Linked DNA regions of Macaca fascicularis. The protein of the gene in region 1 interacts with the protein of each later gene in a biochemical or structural test. Links are inferred from orthologs where the notes say so. Each region holds a gene or a part of one and is shown in the gene's direction. Other genes may lie near its edges. The genes, in order: PPARG, TRIM24, HDAC4, NCOA4, CDC34, NEDD4 and NR0B1.

Region 1 (3,500 bases):
TCTCATGACATTAAAGAAAGCCAATAAAGGCTAGTTGTGGTGGCTCACACCTGTAACCCTAGCACGCATTTAGGGAGGCCAAAGCAGGACGATTGCTTGAGCCCAGGAGTTCAAGACCAGCCCGGGCAACATAGCAAGACCTCATCTCAAAAAATGAAATAATTTTTTTTTAGAAAAAGAAAGTCAGTATTTCATTAATATATATTATAATACACTATAAAATGCCTGTAGAACAAAGAAACACGTTTTCTCTAGGTTCTGTGACAGCATCATTATCCATTCAAATTTTTCTCATAATTAGAACCTGACATTCTGGAAAAATACAGTAAATTTTCATTGATGTTACTTGCTCTGCCCCCCTTTTATTTCTCCCATTAATAATATTAATCCTGAAAAGAAGAAAAGAAAAAGGAAAAAAACCACCCAAGCGAAATGTTTAAGAAATACGGTACGGACAGTTTGGTCCCTTGAAAAATTAGAGCCACCAGGTAAACCTGTTCTGGGGTCCTCACATCTGTCCCCTTTTGGAGTTTGGTAAGTAGTACAGTTGAAGTGAATTTTTTTGTAACAAAAGTAAAAACTTCCAGAATAACTCCAGTAAAGGGTGTTGACGTGACGTACAAGTTTGGAAATATATTTAACATCTGAGAGTCCTTAATGTTGGTGTTACTTCCTCCAGTATAGAACAAACTTAATCTTTTGATGAAAATCATAGAGTTCCATAGATATGAATAGAATCTCCAACCGGTGCATCTTGAAGCCAGCTGCCACGGCCACTCATGCACCTTCTCTGTGCCCATTCAGGAGAGAATTCTCAACATCTCTGCTCAAAACAGTGTTTACTTTTAGTCTATCAGAGACTTCATGTTTGTTGTGCATGCACACTCACAGCTCTCCACACACATGCCCACTCCCCACACACATCCTGCTTCTGAGAAATACAACTAGAATTTCCTCTGGAGAAGAGGTGGAAACCCCTGATTGAGAAATTTAAGGCCTAGGAAAGGTAAATGACTTTTCTTAAGTCGCATAGTTCACCACAGAACCAAAGCTAGAATGCAGATACCCTCAGCTCTTCTTCCAGTGCTTTCAGGTATACAAGTATTTGAACAGGATTCAAGGTTTAACTCCTTATGTGTCTTTCAGTGTATCCGGTGTAAGTAAAATGTTGCCCCTTAGAGCAGCCTTGAGAATTTCTCAATGACTACAGACTTTGGTTAGTTCTATACAAGGGAAGTGAGAGAGAGATAATGTCATGACCAAATGACTTAACTTTTGAAAGCAGCCTATTGCAAACTTAAATAACTGGGGCATGTATTTTATTGATTGACCTGTAAGGACAGATATTTTAAAATGTAAATTCAAAACTGTTTTTTGCAGCATTCACCTATAGGCCTTCTATATCTGCTCTTTGTGAAATAGATGGCTTCCAGAGCATTAAAAAAAGAAATAGACATTTTCTTGGTTCAATAGCTCTAATCTGCTTTCAGAGTGATTTTTTAATAGTTAAGCATATTTTATGTGCACATAGTTTCATTTGCGATCTGAGAGGATTTCATCTAAAACTGAAAAGTTATTACTCGTGAAGGAGAACAAAGGAAAAGGAAAAAAAAAGTTTAAGAAAAAAAAATTGTTTTAAGCCTCTAAAGTTGCTTTATGTTCAAGTGGGTATTTTCAACCCTGAGTTGCTGAAATGATTTTTTATTGAAAGAAGGTTAAAAGTGTATTTCATTGAAAGCCAAGATAAACAGTAGATTTTGTATCATTTTAAAAATCAACAATTGGCTGGGCATGGTGACTCACGCCTGGAATCCCAGCACTTTGGGAGGCCAAGGCGGGCAGATCACTTGAGGCCAGGAGTTCAAGACCAGCCTGGCCAACATGGTAAAAACCTGTCTCTACTAAAAATACAAAAACCAGCCGAGCGTGAAAGTGTGTGCCTGTAATCCCAGCTACCCAGGAGGCTGAGGCATGAGAATTGTTTAAACCTGGGAGGTGGAGGTTGCGGTGAACCCTGATTGTGCCACTGTAATTCAGGCTGGGCAGCAGAGCAAGACTCTGTCTCAAAAACAAACAAAATAAATAAATAAATATAAAAATCAACAGTGAAGACTCCCCAAACAAAAGAAATTGGGATTCTTAGCCAGTCATAGGTAAAGTGTTACAGTGTAAATTAAAGGGAAAGAAGACCAAAATTGGTGAAATTTGTTTGGTCCCAGAAGATAATTAAGATGAATAAAAGAACTTGAGAGTATTTTCTCATTATTAAGCATCTTCAGCTTTAAAGATTTTAGTTAGCAAAGCAAGTTTACATAAAGAAACAGTTTTCTGAACTGGGATGGCATTCACTAAGTTAGAAATCTCCAAGTCACCCATGTTTTCCCTGTTTTATTTGCAGCCATTCGTTATCTATGACATGAATTCCTTAATGATGGGAGAAGATAAAATCAAGTTCAAACACATCACCCCGCTGCAGGAGCAGAGCAAAGAGGTGGCCATCCGCATCTTTCAGGGCTGCCAGTTTCGCTCCGTGGAGGCTGTGCAGGAGATCACAGAGTATGCCAAAAGCATTCCTGGTTTCGTAAATCTTGACTTGAACGACCAAGTAACTCTCCTCAAATATGGAGTCCATGAGATCATTTATACAATGCTGGCCTCCTTGATGAATAAAGATGGGGTTCTCATATCCGAGGGCCAAGGCTTCATGACAAGGGAATTTCTAAAAAGCCTGCGAAAGCCTTTTGGTGACTTTATGGAGCCCAAGTTTGAGTTTGCTGTGAAGTTCAATGCACTGGAATTAGATGACAGCGACTTGGCAATATTTATTGCTGTCATTATTCTCAGTGGAGGTAAGATTTGTCTTTTGATCCTCTATGAAAGAGGGTGGGATGATGGTGGGATGGCCAAAAGAATTTTGGATTTCCTTATTAGTCTGCGTTCTTTGTCGCTTTAAGTGCCAATGGCATAATGCCATGAATCACCTCTACACGTGCAAAACACTGTACCAAGAAAGAGTATCATAAGTTTGCAGTATGAAAGTTATGAGTAACCCAGGATCTTCTCTTTCTTCCCTCAACAATATAGTTTTTCCAATCAAATGCCCTCTTCTTTTTCTTTTCTTTCTCTCTTTCTTTCCTTTCCAGAAAGGAAGATTAGAGGCCAATCTAATCTTTGGTTCCTGTAAGTAATGGCATGTATAACTTTGCTTAAGACAATGCTTACTTGACGTAGAGAAGGAACTACTAAGTGTTTCTGGTCAAATCATGCTCCTGCCCTTCCAACAGTAAGATACTACTTTGAATTGCTTTCGTGATATCAGGAATTAAGGCATACCTACTGACCTCCACCCACTCTCTTGTGTGGATTCCTCTGATGGCTTCCCTTCAAAATACCTTTGTGAGGTAGTTGGTTGTGATTAAGAATGCAATCTGAACCGAACACACAACATAGAAATAAATTTAGTTATTTAGCAATTTGTTGTATTTTTGGCCCTGCAAGTA
Region 2 (4,144 bases), on another chromosome or scaffold:
CTAAGGTTTAAGAGCTACTTCCATGCAAAAAACAAAACAAAACAAAAAACCCCCAAGCTTAAACAGCAACCAATGGGGGTGGGAGGGGTGGCGGGAAGAGCCGTTGAATTTCATGTGATTAAGTAAAAGAATTTCTCACTTGAGGCCTGCGGAGATTGTGTTTAAGGGCAAGGTCTCGAAGGACGGCTACGTTGCCTAGCCCTCCCCCATTGTCATCCTATGTAGTCCTCCAGGAAAATTGTGATTTTAGCAAAGTCTTTCATGACCCACTCCATCTTTCTCTAAAGTCCAGTACCGCTTCATTCGTATTGAAAAAAAAAAAAACAAACTTATATACACTTCTTAAAGTTACGTGTTTACAAAAGCTTGTTTCCTCCACTCCGTTTCTATTCTTCAAGTTCCTTAAAAGCTGCGCCATTTTTTGAGTGAAAAATGTGCTTAACTTCTGATATCAGCATAGAGAGGTGAGGGAGGGAGGGAATAAAATAAGAGGGAGGGAAGAAATAAAAAAGAATCTTGAAGTTATGAATTATTTGGGGATCAGTATTGAGGCTTATTTTTACTTAATGATGCTATATTTATGCAATAAAAACATTAGCCAATCTGTATTAATTCCTGGGAAAACGAACCTTTAGTCACTTTAAAAAGCACATCACTGACTTTGAAAATTAACTTCACCTTTTTCATTGGGGAACCCTTTAAAAATTTCCAACTTGCACAAGAACTTCCCTCCCTTATTCTTCATACTCAGTCATTCATTCTAAAGATGAGTAAAATTAGGTTGCAATATCCATGCTGCCTCCAGAGTACCTCTTTCACACAGTATTTTTAGAAAATTATTTCCTTGTTTGCTCTTCAGTACCTCCACTCCTTCCTCCTGTGACCCTCCTACCATATTTACCCCTCCTACAAGACCAGGTCTCCAGTAATGAAACGAGTTTTCCAAGCAGTTACTTAATTAACGGCATAGAGTAGACAAGTGAGGTCCCGCCCCCTAGGAGGAGCTAACACCCCGGACCGAATCAGGCGGATGGTCGATAACAAATGAACCCTCAATCTTTTCAGAGGAGAAAACACACACAAAGGCCCAATCAGAGACCGCGGCTCCAGGAGTCCAGAGGGGGCGGGGCTGGACAAGCACCACCCACTTCCCAACCTCCCGCCGCGGCCGACAGAGCCTCGCGGGCTCCGACAGGTCCCGCCCCCTCGCCAGGCGCGGCTGCTATTGGGCGGCGGGCTCCTCGCCGAAGCCTCAGTTGCTGGGAGAGGGAGGGCGGGGGCGGGGCCTGAGGTGGGCTTGGGGAGCGATGAAGAGAAAGGCGGGGAGGTAAGGGCGGGCTGGGCGTATTCGACGAGCGCAGCGGCGGTTGGCGTAGCGGACGGGGTGCAGCCTCCCCGGTGTGAGGAACGGTCTCCGCTGACAGATCCCCTTCTTCCGGCCGCGCCACTCGGGAGGCGGATCCCCTGGGCCTGAGGAGGCTTCCCCCGCCCGGCTTGCTTTCCCTCCCTCCCTGGCGCTGCCGCGAGTCCACCGAGCGGCCTCTGAGGAGCAGCCGCAGGAGGAGGAGGAGGTCGTCGGGGGCGGCGGGCGAAGACCGCGCTCTCGCTTCCCCGGCGGCGGCGGGGGCAGGACAATGGAGGTGGCTGTGGAGAAGGCGGCGGCGGCGGCGGCAGCGGCCTCGGCGGCGGCCTCCGGGGGGCCCTCGGCGGCGCCGAGCGGGGAGAACGAGGCCGAGAGTCGGCAGGGCCCGGACTCGGAGCGCGGCGGCGAGGCGGCCCGGCTCAACCTGTTGGACACTTGCGCCGTGTGCCACCAGAACATCCAGAGCCGGGCGCCCAAGCTGCTGCCCTGCCTGCACTCTTTCTGCCAGCGCTGCCTACCCGCGCCCCAGCGCTACCTCATGCTGCCCGCGCCCATGCTGGGCTCAGCCGAGACCCCGCCGCCCGTCCCTGCCCCCGGCTCGCCGGTCAGCGGCTCGTCGCCGTTCGCCACCCAAGGTGAGAACCGGCTGCGGCCGCGGGGGAGCCCGGGGAGAGGGCCGGGAGGGGGCGGGCGCCCTTGTGCAGCGCGACCCGCTGTCATGTCGCCGCCGCCCGGGGTGCGCGGCGGGGGAGGGGCGAGCAGGAGGGTCTGTGCTGGCGACGGTGACATGGAGGGCCCGCGCTCTGCGGCGTGCTGCGCTCGGCCAGCAACTTCCCCGGGCGCTGTGGACTTGACCGCGCCGCCGCCGCTCCGCGTTCTCTACAGCCGGGCGGCCCCTGCCAGCCGCACTTTTGCAGACCTCTGCGGAGTCTCCTGCAGCCGGAATCTCGGGTTCTTTGCCGCCTGCATCCAGTTAACTGCTACCCGCCCGCTGCCTCCACAAAGCTTTGTCCAGGTCCATATGATCCTGATCATCTCGTCTATACCCACGTTATTTGAGCTGGAGGGGAGAAGGGAGGGATGAAGATGAAGTGATGGTGACTTTCTTTCATGACTGATTGCAGATCGGATGTCATTTATTTCTTATTTTGCATGTTTGGGGCTCTTTACCTTAATGAGTTCCCAGTTCTTTTCCCTCTCCTCTGCTAGGGACAAAGGAACCAAGAGACGTTGTTTTGTTGTGTGTCTCTTTCAAGGGTTTTATTTTGAGACGGTGAAGAGAAATAATGCAAAGTGATTTGGGGTGCAGGGTTTCCTGGTATTTTATAGATAAAGCTAGAAGTTACTCTTCTCTTTGTGGTGTTTATTACTGTAGAATTAGACTTTTGACAGGTGTTCCCATTGCTCACTTTAACAGGTTTGAAACATTTAAAGTAAGTTTAAGTGGATACGGTTTTGGGTAGAACACTTGGCAGTTTTTAAATTTTATTGCAAATATTTGAGCACCTCTTTTTAAAAAAATACAGTGTAACTGGAAGAGCATTTTTAATACTTTTTAGAGGGAATAGTTGATTTAGTTTGAAATAAAACGCTAATTTTACGCTACGTTAAGGAAGTGTGAAATGGATACTTTAGATTGTGGTCCGAGACTCATTTATTTAACTGCATGTTAGGCCCAGTATCCACTTGTAGGAGACAGTTTTCCATGCGTGTCCGTTTCTTCACTCTTGCCAGCACCCTTGCCAGGAAGATACTGACTGCCCTTTGTTTCTGTTTTTCACGGATATTATCTAAAGAGCAGCCTTCGATAGTGTCTTCCACCAGAGCAAGAGGCAGGGATACGTATTATCCAGTATAATAAGAAGAATGTCTCCCTCTGGAGCGAAAGGGTAGGCATGCTTACTGCCCATCTTAAAAGATTAGGGTTCCCTAAGCTTAGGGTTCCTCTCCTGTAGAGAAGGAACTGCCTGTGTAGATGTCAGCTGGCTCTCTTCACGTTGACCAGTGGGAACCTGGAGTTCCGAGAACTAGTGCAAAAATCTTGATGCTTTGGCTTATGCTGTTCCTGTGAGTAAAAAACAAACTGCCCTGTGTCTCTGACCCTTGAGTGTCTTCTATCACCATCCGTGAAACTGGTAAGGTTGTTAGCTTGCAAGTTGAACAAACTCTCAGATCCTTCACACTAGTTTGCTCTGAAGAGGCCCACTACTGGAAAGTTCGAACAGGTGAAAGCTTAAACCTTAGTTCTTGTTTCTTTGTTTATTTTGAGACGGAGTGTCGCTCTTGTTGCCCAGGCTCAAGTGCAATGGTGCGATCTTGGCTCACCGCAACCTCTGCCTCCCGGGTTCAAGCGATTGCCCTGCCTCAGCCTCCCGAGTAGCTGGGATTACAGGCATGCGCCACCACGCCCGGCTAATTTCGTATTTTTTTTTTTTTTTGGTAGAGATGGAGTTACTCCATGTTGGTCAGGCTGGTCTCGAACTCCGGACTTGAGGTGATCCGCCCACCTTGGCTTCCCAAAGTGCTGGGATTACAAGTGTGAGCCACCGTATCCCGCCTGTTCTTATTTCTTAGACGCATTTTAAGGTTGGTTTTTCCTTCCTCCCTGCCTACCTTCCTACCTTCCTACCTCGCTTTGTCCTTCAGGCTGGAATGCAGTAGCACGATCTCAGCTCACTGCAACCTCCGCCTCCCGGGTTCAAGCAATTCTTGTGCCTCAGCCGGGCGCCACACCCGGCTAATTTGTATGTGTGTTTTTTTTTAGTAGCGATGGAGTTTTGC
Region 3 (3,500 bases), on another chromosome or scaffold:
CAAGTCTGAGAATCAAGGGTGCTTTCTCACCCAAGTTTAGTGTGCAGATTCAGTGCTGTTGGTCAAAACTAAGACCCACAAACCCAACAAGGGGGCGAGGCTTCATGCCCACCCACTGTACGTGTGTGGTGTGGCAGAGTGAGTGCTTTGGTCCCCGTGTGTGGTGTGGCAGAGTGGGTGCTCTGGTCCCCACATCTGCATGGCCTTCGCGTATCTCCCAGTGGAACCAGCGAGGGCCAGGCTGCCGCCCCAGCAAGAGCCTCTCTCCACACCTGCCAGGCCCCACTCCCCTGCACCTGATCCAGGCTGCTCCTGGCTCAGTACCTCCTCAGAGAAGCCCTCGTTGATACCCCATACTGTCTAGGCCTCCCTGGGACCCCGTGACTCAGCCTGTGTTATCCTGTTGATGAAGCCCATGGCAGGATCCCATGTGGACAACCTGCTTTCCCTAGAAAGAGCCACATCCTGGGAGACAGAGCCCGTGCTGGCCTCATTCTCGGCTCTGGGCCCACTCAGGCTTCAGGGCACTCACAGGGAAGGCCTCTCCACGCAGCTGGCCTCCCAGCATCCTTGTGGCCCGTGTATGGCCTGTGCATGGATGGGAGACTTGCAAGAGAGGGCAGCCCCTAGCCCTGCAGCCCAGCCGTGGGAGGTGCCTGCAGCCGCCAACATGGCCGTTTCTTCCCCGCAGCAAGCCCTCCTGCTGGAGCAGCAGCGGATCCACCAGCTGAGGAACTACCAGGCGTCCATGGAGGCTGCCGGCATCCCCGTGTCCTTCGGCAGTCACAGGCCTCTGTCCCGGGCGCAGTCCTCACCGGCATCTGCCACCTTTCCCGTGTCTGTGCAGGAGCCCCCCACCAAGCCGAGGTTCACGACAGGTAACAGATGGCCTTTGTGCAGCCTGAGGATGTGACGCGGGCCACAGTGGGCACAGACCGGGGCGGGGGGTACTCCGGGCCCAGCTCTGCAGAGGCTGAGGGGCTGGGCAGGCACGAGGGCGGGAACCACACAGGCCTCTCATGGAGGCCCTCTCCCTGCCCCACGCCCTACACCCTCAGTTCTGTTATTCTGGGGGCCTGTCATGGGCTCACTTGCCCACCTTTCCTGTCCCAGAGACCCATGGTCTCCTCCAAGAACAGTCCACAGCCCATGCCCGTGGGGCCATGAGAGCCTACAGCTTCTGGTCCGGCTTAGGAATCACGAGCCCACACTTCTCCACTTACTCTCTCATACTTCACCCACGTCCACAGCGTTGACTCTGAGGCTCCAGTGGCAGGACTGTGAATGGCTGGTGGGGGGCCATGATTACACGAGAGCAGAGCCCGGGACCCCTGGGACATGCTGCGGGAGCCACACATCTGTCTGTGCCATCCCTCGTACCATCCTCACCCCAGGGAGGTGACCTGCCGGCAGGGGTCCTTGGTTTTCCCTGCACGGTACCCCACCAGAAGTCAGGAAGCAAGCGAGGTGTCCACCACGGCTGAGGAGGCAGGCGGGGCTGGGCCCTGGACTCGTCTGCCTGGAGCTGCCTGGAGTCAGGGAGGAGACTGCTGTCCCGGGCCGCCCCGCCGCCCAGCCACCCCTGCAGGGGGGAGGCGGGAAGGAGGGCTGGCTTCTGGCAGGGCTTGCCTCTGAGACAAGCACGGAGGCAGGAGAGCTCTTCATATTGTTTTGATCTAATATTTCTTGTTAATGACGCACTAAGAAAAAAGTTCTGTAAATACAGCATGGCTTCATTCTTCAGATAATTCTCATCACATGGCTTAGTGTTGTGCAGTCTGCAAAGTTCTCACTCTCAGGTCTTAGAAGGATGCTATTCATATTCAGAGAAAAATTTCCATAGTAGTAATCCAGCAAGTAAAATGCTGCTTCTCAGAAAGAAAAGCAGAAAGAAAACTGTGGAAGGTCACAGAGGCAGCCAGATGGCCCACGCCACACTCCACACGCCACACTCCACACGCCACACTCCACACGCCACACGCCACACGCCACACGCCACACGCCACACGCCACACGCCACACTCCACACGCCACACGCCACACGCCACACTCCACACGCCACACTCCACACGCCACACGCCACACGCCACACTCCACAAGTCCTCGGCAGGTGACTGCAGTAAGCGTGTTCTTGAAAGAATGCAGCTCAGACAAGGGGGACCCCAGTCACCGCCACCAAGGCGGGAATTCGCCCACTAAGCTGGCCCACCGTGACTGGTCCCAGGAGAATTCCAGGGAGTCCCACTTCGTCGTTGTCCTTTCTTAGTTTGTCTTCATTACTTTTTAAACAAATTTATAAAACAGTATGTGTTCATTGTAAAGAAACAAACATGATAGAAACCCACAGGAAATACCATTTGCCCGTAATCCCGCTCCCCAGTGGTGGCAGGTTGTTAGTATTTGGTTTAAATCTTCCAGATCTATTTCTGTGCATAGCCAGATGGACAGATAGACACAAACATAATTTGTTTCACAGAGACGGGACTCTGTTGTGTCTGATGCTTTCTGTTAGTACCTCACACTCTCAGCCATCTTCCTGTGTCCGTGCACAGCGACGCAGCACGTTCCTTTAGCCACGTAGTCTCCTGGCTGGCTCTGCCACCCTCAGCTGTGTGGGTTTTACCGCTTCTCCATCTCTCTGCGCTCCAGCTTTTCTGTCTCTAAAGGCAGTAAAGCGGGTGTCTGCCTCATAGGTTCCAGCCGTGTGCTTAGTAATATTAGCACATGTGACCTTATCATCATGATTCCACTGAAAGGGGCCGTCCCCATTCCTCGTATCCATGAGCAACTGGTTGTTTCTGCACACACACCTGTGTATTTGATGGCACCGTGTCCGTCATTGCCTATGTGTCTGTGTTGCCATTACAAACTCCCGAGCACACCCATGCCCACACACAGTGTACTGATTGTGAGTCCTAGATTCGTTGACTCCTGTAAGCCTGCACCTACCCTGTTGCTTTTTTTTTTTTTTAATCAGAAGTCCTGTCCCCCAGCACTGTTTTGCAAGTATCCCCAAAATTCCTCAAGTGCAGGAGACTGACTCCTGTTAGTCTGACTCACAAGAGGCTGAGCCAGGAAGTATGGCAACTAATATGCACCAAGAGTATCCTGTAGCTGGACCCTGCAAACACTGGACCACCTTGAATCTCAGCTCCCCTTGGCTGGGGATGCTGCCTCTGTTCCCAGTAATGGGAACATATGTGGGGAGGACCGCATCCTGGGCCAGCACACTGAAGCGCTAGAGCGGGTCCGTCTGGGCAGCTTGCCCAGGCTCTTCACCAAGTGCCCCGCCCTTATCCACCTGGGTGAACCCACATTAGCATAGGTGCCCCTGGGTAGTGACCTGCCTGCTGAAGGCATCCATTCACCCAGCCTGGCCTTCCCTTTGTTAAGTCCTGGGAGACCAGGTGTGTGAGGCACAGACACATCCCAGCAGGGCCTCGGGGCAGCCCTCCTGCCAGATGTCACCAGGCCTTGTGAAAAGGGGCCGTGGTAGAGCT
Region 4 (3,500 bases), on another chromosome or scaffold:
GCATCCTGGGACTTACCATAAAGAAATGAAACAGGTTTTCTTCGTGGCTGACAAATGAGTTCTCAAGATGACTTTTGAAGGATAACACTCCTTTTAATTTGAAAAAATGTGATAACTGTGTGTGGAAAAATCAGTTTTGTAACTTTTAAATCTCATCCTACATTCTGTCTATAGCTGATAAGGGGAAAGTCCAGTGTGTGAACTCTTGCTATATTCTACTCTTACTGTGTAATATTAATACTTGTGATTGAATTGAGAGTACTTGCTTTAGGAATCTAGTAGTACAGTCAGCACTGTATGTGTTTGAGTTTGTCTCCCGTATGTTCCGGAATTCTGGAGTTTTGACATTGTGAAGCAACAATTTTATTGATTAAATTTTACACTGTGCTAGGCATTGTGGCATTCCACACAAATGGTGAGGATCTAAGAGTGGGAAATTTGGCACAGGTGAAGAAGGCTGGGTAACACATTTGAAAGACTGCTAAACATGTCTTGCATGACTGACCTAAGTGCAAAGTGAAGCAGCCCGTCACACTCCAGCTCTCCAAATCGGAGTCAGCATTTCACCCGTGTGATGCAGGTATTTTTCATAGTCCCTGCAGTGAGTTCCAAGTGCACACTAACGCTTCTGCCTAACACAGGCAGCTTATGGCATGCAAAAGGAGGATGCAAGGTAACCACTGTTGGTGTGTCCAGGGTTGGAAAAATTTCCACAGGGATTTCTGTGAAGTCCAATTAAGGCAACCCTTTCTTTTTAAGAGATGATTATGGAAAAAGAGACTGATGAAACAAAATCAGCAAGGGGAAGTTTAAAAATTTCCTGAATTGTTGTTTCTTATAGAAACTCTAGTTCCTGAATCGGAGTCTTTTGCTGAGATAGTGGACAGAAAGTTTGTTTTGCTGCTCTTCCCACTTCTCTCAGAATACATTATTTCTGAGGGAGGAACTCACCACTTTTGTCTCTATCCAGCTTTCAGCTAGGCATCTGGCCCTAAACTTAGTCTTAAAGATGCAGTCAAGGCCTGGCAAAGTTCCTTTGTCTCAAATGGACAGTCAGCCACTTGGAGGACTCTGCCCTGGGTAGGCCACTTTTCACCCCAAAGCTGGCTTCTCCGAGAAAGTCATTGCTTTCAGGACAGTTAGGAAGTTATTTATTGCCTAACATGCCTCCTATTAACCTTTTTTACCCCCTTGTGTCTGTTCCAAACAAATTTAATTCTTCTAGTTGACAGGTCTCCACATACTTGAGAATGGTAATCATGTCCTCCTGGAGACGTCTCTTATCTAGGCTAAACAGCCTTCCTTCCTGGAGAAGTTTTTCATGGTTTTGAGGCCTCTTTCCCTTTTCTAAGTGTCCTCTTCTAAAGCGTGTTACTCAGAAATAAGTTTTGAATTTAGTCTAATAAACATGGAATAGGTTAATCCTGTGACAAACACTATACTTTTGGTAAATGTAGTCAAATAGTATGTGAGTTATTTTTTCCCACAGACCCAGCACACTGTGAATTCATAGAGAATTTACTTTCAGTTAAAGATGTCCACCCTTTAAAAACGGTGGAAAATATTCTTTTCCTTGCCCTCCCTGATTAAAGTGAAAAACTTACATTTTGTTTTGTAAGATTGAACAGCTGTGTAGAGATTGTTTTGGGAAATGCTTCTGTCACAGCCCCATGTTACCTCCAGCTTTAATGTTTGTCTTCTATGTTTTCATACAAGTAATTAGAAAAAACAGGGATGTGCCTCTAAAAACTTTACACACTGGCCTTAGTCTGTCATCCTTTGAGTATTTTGTAAAAAATAATCTTATTATTCAGTTTAATTGTGCTTCTCTTTAGCTGATATTCACTTTGTCCACAGTGATATCATACAGTTTTGCCACAAGTCTTCTGTCATTCCTTGGTGTCTACAGCATTACCTTTACTTGCTGGTTTAGTAAAACAATCCAAAAGGAAATAACTGGTATCACAGGGCTTAGTGAACCTATTCTGAGCTCTAGTAATCACTGCTGTCATTTTCTCAGTGTTTAAAAATCATGTCATTGTTCTTCCAGTAGCTTTTGTCAAGTTTTACTTCATGGCTTTACTGACACTCTTGTGTTGCAGTCTCATTTTATCATTAATGCTGTTCTTCCCGTTTCTGTTTCCTATCGCTCCTAAACCCAAGCTTTTTAGAGAACTCTGTATTTACCAATTTCTGTTTCTCCTTTATATGAGAATCATATGAAATCATTTTGTCACATATAATCTGTTATATATAATGCACATTCTTTTATATATTATATATTACATATATTCTCTATATAAAAAACATGTATCTGTATATCTGTTGTATTCTTTTTTGTTGTTTTGAGACAGAGTTTCACCCTCTTACCCAGGCTAGAGTGCAGTGGTGTGATCACAGCTCACTGTAGCTGCGACCTCCTGGGCTCAGGTGATCTTCCCACCTCAGCCTGCCAAGTAGCTGGGACTACAGGTGCACACCACCACATGTGGCTAATTTTTGTATTTTGTAGAGACGAGGTCTTGCTATTTTGCCGCGGCTGGTCCAGAACTCGTGGGATCAAGTGATCCACCCACCTTGGCCTCCCAAAGTACTAGAATTACAGGTGTGAGCCACCGTGCCCGGCCCTGTGTTATATTTTTGAGAGCTTCCTAGCTATGAAGTAATTCTTAAGTTCTTCCTAAATAAAAAAAAAAGTTCTACCGTAAAGGGGGAAATTAAAAATTCCGTCTTCTAAACAGTATTCTAAACTTGATTGTTTGCAGCTTATTTTCAAAGTAATAAGCTGTACCTTTTAGTCTTCATCTCTAAATCTACAAAGAGGAACACATACCTCATATGACTATATGTGTGTTATAAATAGAAAATTATATTTTAATGTTCTTTTAACTTTTCAGGACACTGTATGCTCTGTTGATTCAGGACAATTAGTGTATTTTTCCAGAAATAGCTATTCACATGTAAAGTGTTACTAAAGTAGATTTTAGAGTTTTATGGCAGGAACAGTGGTAGAGGGAAGGGAGGAGACAATATTTATTAAGAGTATCTTATGTGCTAGCTCCAGTGTTGGAAAGTAATCTAAGTAGTTAGTAATGGGAGTTGGCTGGAATGATCATTTGAGGGATGATTGAAAGGTGGTTTTTGGTTGTAATTATGGTGCTATTTATATATATTTTTTTCTTTTAAAGGAGCAGTGAGGAGAATGAATACCTTCCAAGACCAGAGTGGCAGCTCCAGTAATAGAGAACCCCTGTTGAGGTGTAGTGATGCACGGAGGGACTTGGAGCTTGCTATTGGTGGAGTTCTCCGGGCTGAACAGCAAATTAAAGATAACTTGCGAGAGGTGTGACATGTGCTTTTCTCTTCTCTTGTCTGGACTCTTGGCACAGGGCTGGTTAGAGCATGGCCAAGGACTTGGTTTCTCTGTGCCAACAAAAAATTTCACCCCATGCCTTGCGTGGTCTACTTGGTCCCAGTCAGTTGCCTGATACACTGGTGCC
Region 5 (4,074 bases), on another chromosome or scaffold:
GGTCAGAAGTCAGGTGGGGTCAAGACTCTGGGGGGCCGGGCACGGTGGCTCATGCCTGTAATCCCAGCACTTTGGGAGGCCGAGGCAGACGGATCACTTTGTTACTCCAAACTGCACCCTCCCCTTCCTTCCAAAACCTAACACACTTAAGGTCAGGAGTTCGAGACCAGCCTGGCCAACATGGTGAAACCCCATCTCTACTAAAAAGACACAATTAGCCGGGTGTGGTGGCGCACACCTGGAATCTCAGCTACTCGGGAGGCTGAGGCAGGAGGCTCCCTTGAACCCTGGAGGTGGAGGCTGCAGTGAGATTGTGCCACTGCGCTCCAGCCTGGGCGACAGGGCGAGACTGTCTCAAAAAAAAGACTTGGGTGGGACAGAGGTCAGGCTGGGAGGAGGGCACAGCCAGGCTCAGGCTCAGCTTGGGGTGGGGGCTCCGTGGGGCTGGCGCCTCTCCCGGGTCAGGTGCTGAGCCGATGCTGGCTGGGGGGAGCCTCTTTCCCAGTTTCTCTGGGGGGCAGGAGCACCTTGCCAACCTCTGATGGCTCCAGCACCTGCACCCGCCTCACACCACATGGTGACTTCAACGGGGGACCAGGAAAGCCCTCGCCCCCTCCCGCCCTCAGAGCCCTCCCCGACCTCGCCCACTTCTCAGAGCTCCCGCTGTCGGGGGAACCGAGGCAGCGCCGCGCCTGGAAGCCGGGTCTGCACACCCCGCCTCGCTCCCGCTCCTCCCCTCCGCGAGGCCAGCGCGCCCCAGGACAGACTCAGCGCCCGTCCCCTGTATAGACGGGGAAACGGAGGCGCGGACGCGGGGTCGCGCCGGGGGAACCGGCCCTGCCCCTCCGGCCCCGGTCAGGACCTCGCCCCGCGCCCCGTTCACCGCCCGCAGCCCCGCCCCACGCCGGGACGTCACAAAACGACCCCAAAGCTGGGGGACCGGGCCAGCCACGGCCAGAGCAGCCCTGCCCGCCTCCGTGCGCACAGCGTCCGCGGTACTGGTCGAGCTGGGGGCGACGGCGGCGGCCTCGGGGATCGGAAGCGCCCAGGGTTGCGCGCTCGAACCCTCCCTCCCGGCGGCGGCGCTCGGCGCGGTAGGCGGAACCGGGACCGGGACTCCACTTCCCGGCGTGCCCCGCGGGCGGGCGCGCAGGCGCAGGTCGGGCCTGGCCGCGGCGCGCAGGCGCAGTCGGGGCCGGGCGGAGCGCGCAGGCGCAGCGGGGGGCGGGGCGCGCGGGCCGGGCCAAGGCGAGCGCTGGTGGGGCGGCGGCGCCAGAGCTGGTGGAGCGCTCGGGGTCCCCGGGCGGCGGCGGCGGCGCAGAGGAGGAGGCAGGCGGCGGCCCCGGCGGCTCCCCCCCGGACGGCGCGCGGCCCGGCCCGTCTCGCGAGCTCGCGGTGGTCGCGCGGCCCCGCGCGGCGCCGACCCCGGGCCCCTCCGCCGCCGCCATGGCCCGGCCGCTAGTGCCCAGCTCGCAGAAGGCGCTGCTGCTGGAGCTCAAGGGGCTGCAGGAAGAGCCGGTCGAGGGCTTCCGCGTGACCCTGGTGGACGAGGGCGACCTGTACAACTGGGAGGTGGCCATCTTCGGACCCCCCAACACCTACTACGAGGGCGGCTACTTCAAGGTGAGCGCGGCGACCCCCGCCCGGGTCCCTGAGCCCACGAGCGACCTCGGGCGCCAGGAACCAGCTCCCTGCCCCGCGGTCCCCGGGCGGGCCCGGCAGCCTCCTGGCTTGGGCTCGCTTCCCTTCTATGGCCGGGTCTCCCCACCCAGCTGTGCCCGGCCCCCTCCTCGGACGGTCCCGGGGACCTTCAGCCTCTGCTGCGGTCCCCGAGAATTCTCAGTTTCCTTGAAGGCACCGTCCGGTCCCCGGGTAGTCTCCTGGCCCGCAGAAGGGTGGCCCGGGGCCCTCCCGGTATCATCTGCGCGTGGGGCTCTTGCCCACCTCCTTCCTGGGGGGGGCTCGACCCCGGCTGCCTCCCCCTCCGCCCTTGCGAGAAAGAGGGAGCGGAGCCCAGGCCGCCCCGGCCTTTCTGCTGCCCTCCCCGCCCTCCCCGGAGGAGACAAAGAGGCCCCCCCCAGACCCCGCAGCTGCTATTGTTGGGGAGCTGGGCCTGTGAGCGGGGGAGCGAGGCCAGCCTGGGGGTGGCTGGCGCGGCCACTCGCTCAGGCTCCAACAAAGGCCCGGATGAGCCTTGGCAGCCGGGCCCTGCCTGGAAAGCGGCCACCCTTGCCGATAGCAGCCGGCCAGGCGCCCTGGGCTCCATCCCCGGGTTTATGTAACCTGCGCCCTCGGGAAGGCTGAGGCAGGGGCGTCCCTCCCACCTGCTCCCTGCAGCTCTCCCCGGGCCCCCGGCTCCGGCCCGCGTCCCGGACCCCGACCTCAGAAGCTCCGGGCTGCTTCATCCCAGCTGGCCTTGGCCTTTCTCAGATTCCACTGAACAGGTGGCTTCCTGTGACCCCAACCCCGAGTTCTGGGCCATTCCTTCTGCCCTCTGGCGGTTTCATTCCAAGCAGGTTCTTGATGTTTTTGTTGCCGTTGGGAGCAGGGAGACTGTTTCTGTCCAGTGTGGAAAGGACTCAGGCCAAAGCCTGGCCAGTTTTCTTGATCTCACGATCCAGACGTGACCTTTGGCTCTTGTAGAGTTCCAGGACCTCGTCCTTGGGGCCAGAGGGACAAAGTGAGGGGCCCCGTGTGAGAGGTGGGGATCGCGCACCCTGTCCAGGAATCCCCCCTCCCGCTGTCGCTGCCTGCCAAGAGCCTGGGCACAGCCGGGCCTGCTCTGCCCCGGCCAGCTGCGGGCATGGGGCCGAGGGACCGATGCCTCTCAGAGCGTGTGCTCTCCGGGCTAATTAATGTCTGAACCGCGCGCGCTCAGCGGCTGTGAGGGCAGCAGCCTGGTCTGCTGGGGGCGATTCCTGAGCTGAGGTTCTGGGTTACGGCAGAGGGTGGGACGTCCGTGGGTTGTGCATCTGGAATCGTGGGTCCCCACACAGGGAACAGAGTTTGAGCCTTGAGGTTGTCAAATGGTTTTAGCAGCCCCCTCCCCCAGCCCCTTTTTTCTGCTTGGGGGAGCAGCTGGCTGTGAGCAGGGGCGGCCCCACCTCGAGGCCAGGCCTGTGAGGCGGCTGCTGTTCTGGAAGGAAGGGATGCGGGTTCCTGGCTCCTGCCCACCAGACCGGTTGCCAGGGATTGTGGGCAGAGCCTCCTGGACCAGCATTAGGGGATAATCCGGTTTTCCGGATTTCCTGGGGAGGGGGCCTCTAGACATCTGCCGCAGGGTCAGTCCTCAGAGGCCAGCGTTGAGACGCGGGGGGGTGCTGCCACCCACCGGGGCTCTCCCTTCCCCGTGTGCCTGGGAGGGAGTTGGGGGAGCGTGGAAATACAGGAGCTGCTGAGTGCCCAGGGCCACCGCTGCTGCCCAGCCACTGCCTGCAGCCGCTGTTCCTTCAGGAGCCAGAGCGAGCCCTGGGGCAGGGGCCACCAGAGAGAGCCCTCCACGGCGGACTTGCCGTGTGCCATCGGCGGGGGCTTTGCTTCTCGGAGCCTGGGTTTGCTCCGGGTAAAAGACATGTTTGGAGGTGCTGAAAATAAGAGGTTTGTTGGGACTTGGTGGGGTTCGGTGCAGGTGAGGCCGCCTGGAAACCCAGCACCAGGCTTGGGGGGCCCGGAGTCTTGGGGAACTGCTGGGCAGTTCTGAGCCTGAAGTTCCAGCCTTGCTCTGTGGCTGTGGCCAAGTCCCTTACCTCATGGGGCCCCAGTGAGTTCCCTGTCAAACAGAGGACACCCCCAAGACCCCTGAGAGCCCTCCCTGTCCAGGAAGGACCTCGCCAACAACTGCTCTTTGGGGGTGCTGCCCTCAGCCTCTTGGAGTGCTGAGTGCCACCAGGACCCCTGACCCAGACACCCCCGTGCCTGGCACTGGGGCCCAGGAAGGAAACAGTGAGGCTTCCTTGTTTACCTGTTGGGGCCCAGGAGGGCCGTGGGTGGCGTCACGCCCCAGGCCGCAGGCCAGACAGCTCTGTCACCGGGCACGTGGCTGCAGTCCTTCCTCTGTGGCCGTCCTTGCCAGCA
Region 6 (3,500 bases), on another chromosome or scaffold:
CCGTCTTTGACTTTTTCCAGAACAATTTCAAGGAAGCTGTAGTATAGAAGTCCGATTGCAGTGGGTTGAGTGTTAGATGGGAGGTGAGTGAATGGATATGCTAAGTGCATAACACTGTCAAGAACTTGCCTGTGAAGGGAAAAAGAGGGTCATTAGTTTTGTTTTTGTTTTTTTGTTTGTTTGTTTGCTTTAAAGGTAGATATGACTTGAGCAAATTTAAATGCATACAGAGTGAGCCAATAAAGAGAAAGAGATCTAGTGAGATGACCTCCCTGCGGAGCAGGTGAAGCACAGGTGCAGGCCTAGCCTGAAAGAAGAGGTGGCACTTCTGTCTTCCACTGCGGCGGGAAGGAGGCCATGATGGGTGTTGGTGATGGTTGGGACACAGGGATGCAGAAGCTTGAGGGAGTTCCATCATGCATAATTGCCTCTGTTTTCCCTCAAATAGAACTTACACTTACCTACGGTAAAGAAGGGGTGATGTGGAGGCTTGAGAAGGATGGCAAATTTGTTTTTTGTTGTTGTTCTTGTTGTTTTGAGACAGGATCTCACTTTGTCGCCAAGACTGGAATACCTCAGCCTCCCCAGTAGCTGGGACTACAGGTTTACACCACCATGCCTGGCTAATTTTTGTATTTTTTTGTGGAGACGGTGTTTCACCATGTTTCCCAGGCTAGTCTCAAATTCCTTGAGTCAAGCAGTCCGCCCACCTCAGCCTCCCAAAGTGCTGGGATTACAGGCATGAGCCACCGCACCTGGCCACAGGAAGTTTTAAAAATAGCCACTTTGAGGAATAAATGAGAGAACAGACTGTGCACATGTACATTTTCTGGCCAATATTGAGATCTCAGTGAAGAGCCCGTGATTGTGTAGCGGTAGAAACTTGTGTGTCTGTGGGATTCCTCCAGTGGCACCCGGAAGCTGAAGCATAGGAAAGGCCATTGGCCCTGCCCATCAGGTTTTTAAATACATCTTTTTTCTAGGGATTCTTTGAACTAATACCACAGGATCTCATCAAAATTTTTGATGAAAATGAACTAGAGGTAAGACATAACATTTTATGTTGAAACAGAAAATTTTGAACCCATTATTTTCCTTGTTTATAATTTGACATTTCTTACGTAGCTTCTTATGTGTGGACTGGGAGATGTCGATGTGAATGACTGGAGGGAACATACAAAGTATAAAAATGGCTACAGTGCAAATCATCAGGTTATACAGTGGTTTTGGAAGGTAATTTGAAACTTCTCTTTTCGTAAATTACTTTTTGATAGATTGAATCATATTTAAGTCAACTCTTGATTAACTATACTGGTGGATTACATTTAACTGACACAGAAAAATATAGAGACCAGCAAAAATGATCTTTGATTTTGTACCGTATACATGCACCTTCTGGGTCTATAACCATTACTAGGTAAGTAAAATGTTCAGAAGGTAGTAAGTGGAATGACAGGCTGAGACAGGCACTTAGTTTTCTACTAAAGTAGGGACTCTGAAAGAACTTGTAATAACCTACAGGGTATTCCTAGGGACTCCTGAGTGGCTCTTTTAAAATGTCTCATAGAGAAATGTGTATGCCATTCAATAATATTAATATAATGTGTTTTTTGAGATGGAGTCTCGCTCTGTCTCCCAGGCTGGAGTGCAATGGTGCTATCTCAGCTCACTGCCACCTCCGCCTCCCATGTTCAAGCAATTCTCTTGCCTCAGCTTCCCGAGTAGTTGGGATTACAAGCATGCACCACCATGCCTGGTTAATTTTTTTGTATTTTTAGTAGAGACGGGTTTCACCATATTGGCCAGGCTGGTCTCAAACTCCTGACCTCAAGTGATCCGCCCACCTCAGCCTCCCAAAGTGCTGGGATTATAGGCATGAGCCACTGCGCCCAGCATATAAGTTTTAAAAGTCATGAGTCATATCTCAAGAGAAATTTTGTTACTTCATTAGGTTATAATCCCATTCTAAAAAGTTGCCATGTAGCCTTACAAATAAAGTTTTCAAGAACTTTATAACCCACCCATAAATAAAAATTTAACTAAAAGAAACATCCACATCTAGTAAGGGATTGTTACTATTCTAGCTAAATTCTGATAGCTTATGTTTCAGGATAATTTGTTTACCTTTTTCCCAGTGCTGTTCCCTAAATGATGTTTTTATCTTATTCAGGCTGTTTTAATGATGGATTCAGAAAAAAGAATAAGATTACTTCAGTTTGTCACTGGCACATCTCGGGTGCCTATGAATGGATTTGCTGAACTATATGGTAAGGATTTTCCATAGATCATTAAAAAAAATGGAGTGATGCCTATTGTCTTTTTCATGGCTGATGAATCCTCACGCTTCCATCATTTACTAACATTTAGCTTAATTTTAAAAAGAATTAAGATTTTGAAAGTGATATCATTAGAGACACTAGAGTAGGCTAAAATATATTTGCACCTTCGAATCAGATAATAAAGGGGAAAACTGGAAACATCAAATGACTTACGAGTCACTTTCCCTTCTTTAACTTCAGATTCTATGCCCCGTGTGCGTCAGTTACAGAAAAAGCATTACCTTGGCCGGGAGGGGTGGCTCACACCTGTAATCCTAGCACTTTGGGAGGCCGAGGCAGGCAGATCACTTGAGGTCAGGAGTTCAAGACGAGCCTGGCCAACACAGTGAAACCCCATCTCTACCCAAAAATACAAATATTAGCTGAGCTTGGTGGTGTGCACCTGTAGTCCCAGCTACTCGGGAGGCTGAGGCAGGAGAATTGCTTGAACCCGGGAGGCGGAGGTTGCAGTGAGCCGAGATTGCACCACTGTAGTTCAGCCTGGGTGACAGACTGAGACCCTGTCTCAAAAAAATGAAAAAGCATTACTTCTCATGTGATAGTTCAGGATAGCATTTGAAGTTTCACAGAATGTCACTAAGTGTATTCAAGTTGAATACCTTTAGGGAAATGCTGGACTAAACAAAGTTAAATGGATTTCTTCAGGACTTGTGTAGAACCTTTACTGTTAGAAGAAAACAAAAGCATTGTTTCCCAAACTTATTTGATCATGAAATCTTTTTTTTTTTTTTTTTCCTTTCAAGATAGGGGTAGAGAATCTCGTTAGGCTACTATTTTTCATTTCCTGGGGGGAGCACCGGGACTGGGGAGAAGAGTGCCCATATCTCTTGATTTTTAGAATAGTTAATGCAGTTTTCAGTAAAGTAAGATTCTGTGTATTCTATCAAATTATTTTTCAGTTGATGTACAAAACTGGAGGTGTGTTTTGTTTAAAAGTGCCGTTTCTGATGTAGATTGCAGCAACTTTTCTCACATTGATTCATATTCTGTTTATTGGAATGATATTTACTTGCTTTTAAGGATACCAAGAATCCAAGAATAAATCTTTTAGAAAGGATGTAGCTGAAGTGGGAACCCTACTCAGAACAACGAGTAAGATTAGGATTGTCCTGGGGATTAGAAGTCGGGACTGCTGCCTAGGAAATCGCTAAGCTGAATTTG
Region 7 (3,990 bases), on another chromosome or scaffold:
GTGGGGAAAGAAATGCTAATTACACACTTACCAATGGAATACTTTTACAAGGATCAAAATTTCTCGCTGCAGCCATGAAAAAGAATGAGAGCTGGCGGCCATTATCCTTAGCGAAATAACGCGGAAACAGAAAACCAAATTATCACATGTTCTCACTTGTAAGTGGGAGCTAAATAAAGAGATCACATGGACACTAGGAGGGGAACAACAGACACTGGAACCTACTTGAAGGTGGAGGGTGGGAAGAGGGAGAGAATGAGAAAAAATACCTATTGGATACTATATTACCTGGGTGACGAAATAATCTGTACACCAAACCCCCGCGACAAGCAATTGACTTATATAACAACCCTGACATATACTCCTGAACCTAAAAGTTAAAAGAAAAAAAAAAAAAAACCATATACTAAAATGAAAACGATTCTCACTGTAACAATATTATCCCCTCGTGATTATTATATTCCTAAGTTTTAGGCACTTTTACAACCTGCTCGCTGCCCCCAGCTCTCTTAACACAGCATCCAGGACATAGTGGGCGCTTATAAATACTGATGGAATTAAACTGAGCGCTTATGCTAGCATATTTAGACCAGTGCTTTTCAAACGTCAAGGTGCATGTGAATCCCTGGGGACACCGTTAAAATGCAGATTCAGAGTTAGAAAGTCTGGTTGGAGCCTGACATTGGGCATTTCCACCGAGTTCCCATATGATGTTTGTCTATGTTCTGTATTTTTCAAGGTCTCAGAAAATGAGACCTCCCTATCCATATACAAATATGAGTCTCACAAACTGTGAAAATTTAATGAAAGTTTACAAAGAGCATAGAAGTAGATGTTTCCTCTTTTCCCCTACCCTCCCAATAAAGGGAACAAATTAGATGCGAGGTTCAATGGAAAGAGTTGCAACAGCATCCAGGCGCTCGCTCTCCTCCGGTCTTCCTGAGAGACAGGGAAAGGGGTAATGAGAGGAAGGAGGGAAGTGTCCAGGAGCTCCCACGCTGCTGTTCCTCTTCCATTTTCAGCTTTTAAAGAACACCCGCCCCTTCGAACCACCGAGGTCATGGGCGAATACACCGGAGCGCAGCACCGCGCCCCCCCTGCCCGCCTCCGCGCCCTTGCCCAGACCGAGGCGGCCGACGCGCCTGCGTGCGCGCTAGGTATAAATAGGTCCCAGGAGGCAGCCACTGGGCAGAACCGGGCTGCAGGAGCCGCGGGCCATGGCGGGCGAGAACCACCAGTGGCAGGGCAGCATCCTCTACAACATGCTTATGAGCGCGAAGCAAACGCGCGCGGCTCCTGAGGCTCCAGAGACGCGGCTGGTGGATCAGTGCTGGGGCTGTTCGTGCGGCGATGAGCCCGGGGTGGGCAGAGAGGGGCTGCTGGGCGGGCGGAACGTGTCGCTCCTGTACCGCTGCTGCTTTTGCGGTAAAGACCACCCACGGCAGGGCAGCATCCTCTACAGCATGCTCACGAGCGCAAAGCAAACGTACGCGGCACCGAAGGCGCCCGAGGCGACGCTGGGTCCGTGCTGGGGCTGTTCGTGCGGCTCTGATCCCGGGGTGGGCAGAGCGGGGCTTCCGGGTGGGCGGCCCGTGGCACTCCTGTACCGCTGCTGCTTTTGTGGTGAAGACCACCCGCGGCAGGGCAGCATCCTCTACAGCTTGCTCACTAGCGCAAAGCAAACGCACGTGGCTCCGGCAGCGCCCGAGGCACGGCCAGTGGGCGCGTGGTGGGACCGCTCCTACTTCGCGCAGAGGCCAGGGGGTAGAGAGGCGCTACCAGGCGGGCGGGTCATGGGGCTTCTGTACCGCTGCTGCTTTTGCGGTGAAGACCACCCGCAGCAGGGCAGCACCCTCTACTGCATGCCCACGAGCACAAATCAAGTGCAGGCGGCTCCGGAGGAGCGGCCGAGGGCCCCCTGGTGGGACACCTCCTCTGGTGCGCTGCGGCCAGTGGCGCTCAAGAGTCCACAGGTGGTCTGCGAGGCAGCCTCAGCTGGCCTGTTGAAGACGCTGCGCTTTGTCAAGTACTTGCCCTGCTTCCAGGTGCTGCCCCTGGACCAGCAGCTGGTGCTGGTGCGCAACTGCTGGGCGTCCCTGCTCATGCTTGAGCTGGCCCAGGACCACTTGCAGTTCGAGACTGTAGAAGTCTCGGAGCCCAGCATGCTGCAGAAGATCCTCACCACCAGGCGGCGGGAGACCGGGGGCGACGAGCCACTGCCCGTGTCCACGCTGCAGCCCCATTTGGCACCGCCGGCGGAGGCCAGGAAGGTGCCCTCCGCCTCCCAGGTCCAAGCCATCAAGTGCTTTCTTTCCAAGTGCTGGAGTCTGAACATCAGTACCAAGGAGTACGCCTACCTCAAGGGGACCGTGCTCTTTAACCCGGGTAAGGGTACTGGCCTTGGGCGCCGGCTTTTCCCAGCTCACAAAAGCATCAGGCAGTGCCTATCTAGGGGCGCGGGCAGTAAGGAGTTTTCAGTGATCAGGAGAGTGTCGGGACAAAGGTGAAGAAATCATGACTAACTCAGCAGAGTTGGGGTGGGGGGCTCCAGGAACCACTTCTCCTGAGTGGGCTGCTGTCAGAAACTCAGCCAAGAGGAGGGGAGTTGTTTGTTTAGGTTTGTACTTAGCTCTTTACACGTTTCTTACTACAGAAAAGTTTGTGCCTTCATGGGAAATGGTTATTCTTTCTTTAGCTTTCTTTGAAGTCCAGAGCATATCTTTTTCTAAAAAAAGTTTTTGCTCACTGAAGATTCTGCGACATCGATTTCTGAAACTCCATTCTGAAATTTACTAGAACCTTTTTTTGGGGGGAGGAGATCTATTAGGGCTAGCAAAAAAGGAAACATTTGTTAAAGGGTCCCATAGAGAGACTATTCCCTAGGGACACTGTCAGACAGTACACTGGATGTAGTGTTTCATAGGCCTGCCTCTGAATGGTTATTTGTATGGTCCTAAGCATCTGGACTATCCCTTCCTCCAAATCTCTGTGAAGAATATCAGGTTGGCAAAGGGATAAGAAAAAAAAAAAAAAAAAAGTCACTTTAGGGACTGAGAGCAGGAACACTGTATTTTAGAATTCAAAGAGACTTTAGAGACCTCCTAATCAACCCCCTTTGCTCTGTAACCTTCCCCCACCGCATTTTACTGTGTAGGTGGATGTGTCCCAAGGTCCCAAGTGACCTTACTCCAAAGTAAATGGCTGGTGTGTTGTGGCACCTGAGGGTCCTATCTTCTGGGCCCTGTGGGATGTCGGCTGCACCAAACTTTCAGGTTGTCTGTTGGGTGCAGGACACACTGTCCCACAGGGTGCAACCAAATCACTGGGGGAACATCTCCCTGGACAGCCAGGCACCTTGTCTTGGGTGTTTCTCTCTACTAGAATCATCTTCAACCAGCGTCCTTTTGAAATGATTGAAGTGGAAAAAAATTTTCCAGGCAACTTGAGTTGGGATAGTTTCCATAATGCTCCTTTTGTATCTTTTCCCTGGTGCTGGAATCTCTGATTATGTCCTGGCCCCCTGCCTAGCATTTTTGAGAGTGCATAATATATATAAATATATTTAATATATATATTTAATATATTTAAATTTATTATATGGGATATACAAAAGACAAACAGCAAAGAGAGGCCACAGTCTCAATAGGCGTTACCTTTCTCCCCAATATAGGTACATTTGAGTTTCAAACACACTCAGCTTAGCTGGTTAAACTCATACTGAGAAAGGATTAGGAAAAGTCAATCAAGAACAAGGAAGAAGTGTGCGTGTGTGTGTCTGTGTGTGTGTGTGTGTGTTAAAAGTATATAAAACAGGGTCAAGGGAAAGAGGGAAACTATTGATACTGAAACTAATGGAATGTAAATTTCTGGAAGGTGAGCCCCTTTCACCTTTATATCCCAACAGGACAAGGAACGTAGTGGATGATTAATAATACTAGCTGAAGGAATAAGAAGACTGTTTTCCAAATTATCTTGAGAATCATCTGTGAC

The links.
Region 2: the proteins of PPARG (region 1) and TRIM24 interact in a test that uses a peptide from one of them, tested with the Homo sapiens proteins (2 studies listed by BioGRID). The link is inferred for Macaca fascicularis from reciprocal best matches to the Homo sapiens genes PPARG and TRIM24.
Region 3: the proteins of PPARG (region 1) and HDAC4 form a complex in vitro, tested with the Homo sapiens proteins (2 studies listed by BioGRID). The link is inferred for Macaca fascicularis from reciprocal best matches to the Homo sapiens genes PPARG and HDAC4.
Region 4: the proteins of PPARG (region 1) and NCOA4 form a complex in vitro, tested with the Homo sapiens proteins (2 studies listed by BioGRID, with this or other methods). The link is inferred for Macaca fascicularis from reciprocal best matches to the Homo sapiens genes PPARG and NCOA4.
Region 5: the proteins of PPARG (region 1) and CDC34 form a complex in vitro, tested with the Homo sapiens proteins (2 studies listed by BioGRID). The link is inferred for Macaca fascicularis from reciprocal best matches to the Homo sapiens genes PPARG and CDC34.
Region 6: of the proteins of PPARG (region 1) and NEDD4, one has a biochemical effect on the other in vitro, tested with the Homo sapiens proteins (2 studies listed by BioGRID). The link is inferred for Macaca fascicularis from reciprocal best matches to the Homo sapiens genes PPARG and NEDD4.
Region 7: the proteins of PPARG (region 1) and NR0B1 form a complex in vitro, tested with the Homo sapiens proteins (2 studies listed by BioGRID, with this or other methods). The link is inferred for Macaca fascicularis from reciprocal best matches to the Homo sapiens genes PPARG and NR0B1.

The regions. Positions count from the first base shown.
Region 1 is NC_088376.1:150,693,837-150,697,336, forward strand, and holds part of PPARG (peroxisome proliferator-activated receptor gamma), read left to right. Parts: intron 1-2,398; coding exon 2,399-2,849; intron 2,850-3,500. UniProt on the Homo sapiens protein: Nuclear receptor that binds peroxisome proliferators such as hypolipidemic drugs and fatty acids.
Region 2 is NC_088377.1:180,136,853-180,140,996, forward strand, and holds the start of TRIM24 (transcription intermediary factor 1-alpha), read left to right. Parts: upstream 1-1,344; 5' UTR 1,345-1,634; coding exon 1,635-1,998; intron 1,999-2,133; exon of another isoform or gene 2,134-2,378; intron 2,379-4,144. UniProt on the Homo sapiens protein: Transcriptional coactivator that interacts with numerous nuclear receptors and coactivators and modulates the transcription of target genes.
Region 3 is NC_088386.1:135,018,947-135,022,446, reverse strand, and holds part of HDAC4 (histone deacetylase 4), read left to right. Parts: intron 1-691; coding exon 692-878; intron 879-3,500. UniProt on the Homo sapiens protein: Responsible for the deacetylation of lysine residues on the N-terminal part of the core histones (H2A, H2B, H3 and H4).
Region 4 is NC_088383.1:59,187,097-59,190,596, reverse strand, and holds part of NCOA4 (nuclear receptor coactivator 4), read left to right. Parts: intron 1-391; exon of another isoform or gene 392-580; intron 581-3,188; 5' UTR 3,189-3,202; coding exon 3,203-3,343; intron 3,344-3,500. UniProt on the Homo sapiens protein: Cargo receptor for the autophagic turnover of the iron-binding ferritin complex, playing a central role in iron homeostasis. Acts as an adapter for delivery of ferritin to lysosomes and autophagic degradation of ferritin, a process named ferritinophagy.
Region 5 is NC_088393.1:1,084,598-1,088,671, forward strand, and holds the start of CDC34 (ubiquitin-conjugating enzyme E2 R1), read left to right. Parts: upstream 1-1,274; 5' UTR 1,275-1,446; coding exon 1,447-1,623; intron 1,624-4,074. UniProt on the Homo sapiens protein: E2 ubiquitin-conjugating enzyme that accepts ubiquitin from an E1 ubiquitin-activating protein, and catalyzes its covalent attachment to other proteins by an E3 ubiquitin-protein ligase complex. In vitro catalyzes 'Lys-48'-linked polyubiquitination.
Region 6 is NC_088381.1:32,286,887-32,290,386, reverse strand, and holds part of NEDD4 (E3 ubiquitin-protein ligase NEDD4), read left to right. Parts: intron 1-983; coding exon 984-1,043; intron 1,044-1,125; coding exon 1,126-1,233; intron 1,234-2,170; coding exon 2,171-2,267; intron 2,268-3,500. UniProt on the Homo sapiens protein: E3 ubiquitin-protein ligase which accepts ubiquitin from an E2 ubiquitin-conjugating enzyme in the form of a thioester and then directly transfers the ubiquitin to targeted substrates. Specifically ubiquitinates 'Lys-63' in target proteins.
Region 7 is NC_088395.1:30,316,413-30,320,402, reverse strand, and holds the start of NR0B1 (nuclear receptor subfamily 0 group B member 1), read left to right. Parts: upstream 1-1,190; 5' UTR 1,191-1,217; coding exon 1,218-2,385; intron 2,386-3,990. UniProt on the Homo sapiens protein: Nuclear receptor that lacks a DNA-binding domain and acts as a corepressor that inhibits the transcriptional activity of other nuclear receptors through heterodimeric interactions.